Linked DNA regions of Bombyx mori. The protein of the gene in region 1 purifies or fractionates together with the protein of each later gene. This does not show direct contact. Links are inferred from orthologs where the notes say so. Each region holds a gene or a part of one and is shown in the gene's direction. Other genes may lie near its edges. The genes, in order: 3-phosphoinositide-dependent protein kinase 1 and Ywhae.

The links.
Region 2: the proteins of 3-phosphoinositide-dependent protein kinase 1 (region 1) and Ywhae purify together in Homo sapiens (affinity purification with mass spectrometry; 3 studies listed by BioGRID and IntAct, with this or other methods). This does not show direct contact. The link is inferred for Bombyx mori from reciprocal best matches to the Homo sapiens genes PDPK1 and YWHAE.

Annotation. Positions count from the first base shown.
Region 1 is NC_085117.1:13,115,201-13,117,770, reverse strand, and holds part of 3-phosphoinositide-dependent protein kinase 1, read left to right. Parts: intron 1-342; coding exon 343-601; intron 602-713; coding exon 714-1,634; intron 1,635-1,766; coding exon 1,767-2,044; intron 2,045-2,256; coding exon 2,257-2,361; 3' UTR 2,362-2,570. UniProt on the Homo sapiens protein: Serine/threonine kinase which acts as a master kinase, phosphorylating and activating a subgroup of the AGC family of protein kinases.
Region 2 is NC_085122.1:14,135,510-14,139,350, forward strand, and holds part of Ywhae (14-3-3 epsilon protein), read left to right. Parts: intron 1-593; coding exon 594-757; intron 758-3,841. UniProt on the Homo sapiens protein: Adapter protein implicated in the regulation of a large spectrum of both general and specialized signaling pathways. Binds to a large number of partners, usually by recognition of a phosphoserine or phosphothreonine motif.

The DNA of each region.
Region 1 (2,570 bases):
GTATGTGTAGTATGCGTATGCTCGGAAAGATGTTCGTCCTTTTTTTACTAAATAACAAAAAATAATCCATACAAAATAGTCTTTCGTAAGCTGTGACTTTAACACTAAACTAATGCTAAAGAATGTCAGTTTGACAGATTAAAATATCAAAAGTAATCTGATTCATTTTTAGAACTTTGTTGACAAACAAGACCTATTAACCCAGGCATCATCCACGGTGAATTTTATTCTAAATCACTTTAAGAAACTTCGATTTAGAACACTTGCTTACACTCATCGTAAACGGACTTCGTCAGTTAACCAATAAGAAAAAAAGTATAAAAGGAATCTTTTTTTTTACAGATTGGCAGTCGAGCGTCTAGTGAGGTCCGTGCTCCTATTGCGGCTGCTGAGTCTATAGTGGAAACTCCGGTAAAAATGCAGGCTTCACCGGCTACGACAGTTACGGCCCCCGCCCCTGCTTCATCTCCGGTACCGAGCCAGTCTCACAAAACTACTAAGCGATCTGCAAAGGATTATATCTTCGGAAAATTAATAGGAGACGGCTGTTATAGTACAGTCTTCTTAGCCAAAGACATACACACCGGGAAAGAATATGCAAGTAAGTGTACATACACCACGTTTGATAGTTTTAAAGTTAAATTATTTAATTTTATCATAATCATAATACATTACATAACTAAAGTAGTAAAATATTCATTAATTTGTTTCAGTTAAAGTCTGTGAGAAACATCACATAATACGAAAAAAGAAGCGAGAATACATAAAACGCGAAAAAGACGCTTTAAATATGCTATTTAATGTGCCCCACGGTTTCGTTAAATTGTATTGTACGTTCCAAGATGAAGAGAGATTGTACTTTGTATTATCTTATGCGAAGAATGGGGAACTTCTTTCATATATCAATAAAGTTGGCTCTTTCGAATTAAATGTGGCCAAACATTATGCCGCTGAATTACTATGGGCTTTAGAGAAAATGCACGCGCAAAGAATTATTCACAGGGATTTAAAACCGGAGAACATACTATTAGACGAGAACATGCATTTGTGTATAGCCGATTTTGGTACTGCAAAAATTCTTAATTCCAAAGAAATTAGCTCTTCTCCGAAAAATAACGAAAATGATAATTCACAAAATGAACGTTCAAGGAAAATCAGTTTCGTTGGCACGCCTCAGTATGTTAGTCCAGAATTACTACACGATTGTGTTGACACTCGGGCTTCTGATCTGTGGGCTTTGGGATGTATTATCTACCAGATGATATCAGGATTACCTCCTTTCCGCGCTGCAACGGAATTTTTAATTTTCCAAAAGATTCTCAAAATGGATTATGAATTTCCGGAAGGTTTTCCAGCAGATGCTAAAGACCTTGTAGAAAAGTTATTAGTGCTCGATCATTCCAAGCGAATAGGAGCTGACGATAAAGGAGAGACGTACCACAGTATCCGCAATCATCCTTTCTTTGAAGGCGTTGACTGGGATAAACTGTGGGAGCAAACTCCACCGAAAATCAGTCCATACCTGCCAGGAGGTTCATTTGAAGAAGAATATAATGTGCCCGACTATCTTGAACCAGGTCTTGGAAATAAAGAGCTAGTGCGTCTTTGGGGAATAGATTTATCGACATCCAAAGGTTTGTTTTTAACTCTACTTACACTTTTTTACTAAGCTTATGAAAATAAATGAAGCTCTAACATACACACTTATAATAAACTAGGATTGATTATAATTAATTACCAAATTTAATAAGGGTTATTTTTTGTAGGTATATTGAACATCAGCCCTGAAGAAAAACGTCGCCGCTTAGAAATTCAAGCCCGAGATAGTAAATGGCATCAATTTGTGGATGGTGAGCTGATACTGAAACAGGGCCTTGTCGACAAGCGAAAGGGCCTGTTTCCCAGGCGCCGGATGCTGCTTCTTACTACTGGACCTCGACTATTCTACGTTGACCCAGCAAATATGATCCTTAAGGGGGAAATACCCTGGTCCCCAGAATTGCGCGTTGAAGCCAAAAATTTCAGAATATTTTTAGTACATACGGTAAGAATAATACAGTATTGCTTTTAAGTAATAATTATGATTATGAATTGTGATATTATTAATTATGATTGTGTGTACAAAAATACAGTACATATTAAATAATTTATGTATTTTATAATTTATTAATTTAAACTATTTCATACTATATTTTCAAAATATAATTGATGATCTTCTGGTCATATTATATTGAATTGGTTATAATATTTTTGCAGCCGAATCGTACATATTACCTAGAAGATCCAGATTCTTACGCATTGGAATGGGAACGTGTCATCGACGAAGTGCGTATTGAAACATATGGGCGCGACACGACTTAAATGCCGGCGCTGCCGCAGACCCGAGCAGAGCCTGCGACGCTGCCGCGGCCCTCGGGCCCCGCGTTTTATCACAGCACCCCACTCGTTGAGTGTGCACATATAGGAAATTGTAGCCTTGGCTTCGAGCATGGCCAACATCCGATAATAATATGTTCGGTCAGTACGACCTCCTGACCGAAGCATCCGTTGCACGGCGCGTCGTGAGCCGC
Region 2 (3,841 bases), on another chromosome or scaffold:
ATCTTATGTTGATTGGTCTGATGGCTCAGACCAAGATGCCTATAGGCTATGTAACGAACACAAAAGAGCTGCCACCTGATGATAAAGGGTTACTGTTGCCAAGGTCCCCATCGGAAGGGTCATAGCTCTTAGCGGCAAAGCCCTTTTGTCCCTTATCAATCCAACTTGTATACCCGCCACAGTATGGACATTGTTTTGAGATGATGAGTTGAAGTTTGAGGAAAATACTAGATTATCAAAAGTCGAAATGTTGAGCAAATATCTGCCCAATCTCCTAAATAACAATAATAAAAAGAAAAATAAATATCTATAAATATGGCGAGCTCACAGCCCACCTGGTGCTAAGTGGTTACTGAAGTCCATAGACATCTACGACGTAAATGCGCCACCCACCTTGAGATGTAAGTTCTAAGGTCTCAAGTATAGTTACAACGGCTGCCCCACCCTTCAAACCGAAATGCATTACTGCTTCACGGCAGAAATAGACAGGGTGATGGTACCTACCCGTGCGGACTCACAAGAGGTCCTATCATCAGTAAAGTACCAGATATGGTAGAAATGTACTAAAACGAATAATATATCCTATTTTTCAGAAATGGTGGAGGCGATGAAGAATGTAGCATCACGCAACGTGTCCGACAATGAGCTGACAGTGGAGGAGAGGAACCTGCTGTCGGTCGCCTACAAGAACGTGATCGGCGCCCGCCGCGCCTCCTGGCGGATCATCTCCTCCATCGAACAGAAGGAAGAAACAAAAGTGAGTCTCGTGTAACACTTACTTGTCTGCTGATGTAACTTGTCATAATCAGAGCTTAGCCCGGATAAATAAATTGGATGATTGTGTTTTAGTATCACCCAAGCATTGAGAGTTTAGAAGAAAAACCTCATATTTTGGTATCCAGACTTGTTTTGTTAATCTAATGCATCTAGAGGGCCTCATAACTTTTATCATGAGATTGATTCATGATAAAAGTTTACATATGTTCTGCGTGTATGTTTTTAGTGTTTCATGATACAGAGAACTCCTGAATTTTACCTGTCTTAGCTATAGATTCATTATAAATTGAGAGAAATCTGAGTACAGCAATGTTGATCATTTAGTGGTAGCCCCTTAACCAAATGTCATTGTTGAACATGTTTACATTATATAATTGAATGTTGGAAAATGAGAGATCGCTTCCCCAATACATATGTAGTATCAAACTACTTTTTGATTGATTCAACTGTTTATGTTTGGAGAAAACGGTGCGCGTGCAACTTGGTGCACGTGAAAGAAGTGAGACTTCTTTTGCGGTGTTTAGTATTTCGGTTTTCTTCATTTTTCATCGTTAAATGAAATTTCTCTTGTAATAGGTAATGCTGTGTATATCTTTTCACCATTTATATATATTATATATAGAAAAATATTACTATTTTTTCAAATCCTTCTTTAAAAATAAGATAGTATTTACAAGAGCAGTGAGAAACTAATAACAAGCCATCTAGTGGCGGACGCCCGTAAACAAAATGTGTATAAGGGAAACGAGCCGACTCGTTCCCTTCCTCTCCACGGTCGAGCTGTTCGCGAGACGCTGTCTTGTTTCTCACTCTCGCTCTTCCTAAATTATATGTTTTCTCTCTAGTCGCAACGAATCTGTCGCGAGTTTAATTTTATTCTCAACGCGCCTAAAGAAGTTTCACTTAAAAAACATTTTTAAGTAAAATGACTAATAATGGGAAATGATAAAATTAATAGCTTATCTCAGCAGCTAATTTGCTTTACTCTGTATTCATTGATCTGTGTGTTATTGTAGCTAGCAATGAGTTGATCATGCTTTCTTCTTTAATACTAGGCAAAAGTACAGAATTTGTTATTTAAACGCTGCTCCATTGCTGCGAGAAAGTAACACACTAAAAAACACGTCGCATTTAAATGTAGTGAAGAAATAAAATAAGTGTTGTTTTTTTCCGATTTGTAATGTACCTTTCGACAAACATTTTTTTTAGAATTAATACTTTTGTTAAATTAGCCTTTTCACAATTTGCGGTGAATCAATTTAAACCTGACATCGCCAGCCGACGTCTGTACCGCGTCTGTACGCGCCGCTTCAGTTATTGATCCGCAGCGCCGTCGGGGCTCCTGGTTGTTTCCAAGCTAATCGAGAGTTAGCCAACTAAATGTTAACTTCATAAACGCAATTTGAATCTTATCGACAAGTGTAATGCAAGTCGCTGGCTTGTTTTTTTGTGAATTTCTATTACATATTTAAATATATCCGACCGTCTGACCTTATAAAATTATCGAACCCGCACCGAGCTCAGGCACTCTTATTATCTAACGACAGCGAGCTTTGTAATTTGTTCTTAACGACGAAAAGATTAGTTAAATCATTAATTTATTTCTTTAACAAAATTCCGCAGTTAACATAACTTCAAAAATGTTACAAATTACTTCGATATTCTAAAAAATAAGCTTATTTATGGAATTAAGGAATAGGAATTAGTACGTACCCAAAAACTGACAACAAATAATTGTAGGAATAATTACATTAAGCATCTAAATCACACGCAAAGCATTCCCCGGTGATCGATATCAGTCGCTCGGCTTACTTTGTGTCCATGAATAGTCGCAACTAAAGTTACAATTGCATTGCCAGGACACACGAATAGTGAATCATTTTGTCTGATTCATGCGTGAATCTAGAGTTTGGGCTGAATCGTAATCCAAAAATATTACTCTTTATGGTTTTGTTCTATTTAACTTACGTCATATTCCAAGTTAGACAATATAATATTGAGGTAAAAGTTCCATGGAAGTATTAATAAAGGTGCCGTTCGAATTCCTGTGGCGACATGACAACATAAGAATAAATGCGCATCTTGAAGCGAATAAGCAAAATTATCTCATTACATTAGAATTAATAAAAAAACCCATAAATATTATTGTGATCATTGTTAAGAAATCGCCACGTTCAAATCGACAGAAACCGTTAGAAACATAACATTTTTTATCACTAACTGCGACAGACAAAAAACTGGAATTGGAGAGTTTGTAACTCGGCGTGTAATGAGGAAAGTGAGTCATAGTCAGTTGTTTCATCAGCGGTACGCCCAGTACTCATAGGAGTCGCACGGACTGAATCATCTAATTCCAAATGTTAAAATACCCTTACACACTTAATATTATCATTAAGTAATAATTGTTGAAAAATGTGGTCATATAAGCGTTTATAAATTTTATGACGATGTCAGAATAGGGAAACTGAAATGTGGGTTAGACTTAAATAGGTATCTTTTTTAAAGTAAATTCAATAGCCGGCTTAAAAAACTTACAATGGACCTTTCAACCTTTCAACTTTCAACAGCGTTGTTGACGAATCGCCTAAAAAAGTGTCAAGGACGCACTTTGTCTGACTACTTAGTTTTATGTACAGCCGCTCTATTTCTTATTTTATTAAAAAAATATGTCTTTAAGTACATATAAATATATACATACTATAATAGCTAAATTTTTGGAGCCCTGTTGACAGTTTCCATCGAAATAGTTTTGATCGTAGAGAGATTTCTGTAAACTTTTGTGATGATAATTTAAAAACATCGTCAAATATAAAACCGCAGTCTATCAAAGTGTACGTACGATGACAGTACCTGTCACGCAAAGGATTTTCATAATTTAATATCTTTATTAAGTAAAATTGACTGAACTTTGTTTTGATAAATCTCGCATCGAAATCTAGAAGAAATAAATTTAATGACGACAAAAAGATCATCGGGCTAGATAGATATTTGCGTATCGATCGACTGCGGCACATTGAGGAATATGAATTGCAAATGTTCAATTGAGACTGACTCATCTACAAGG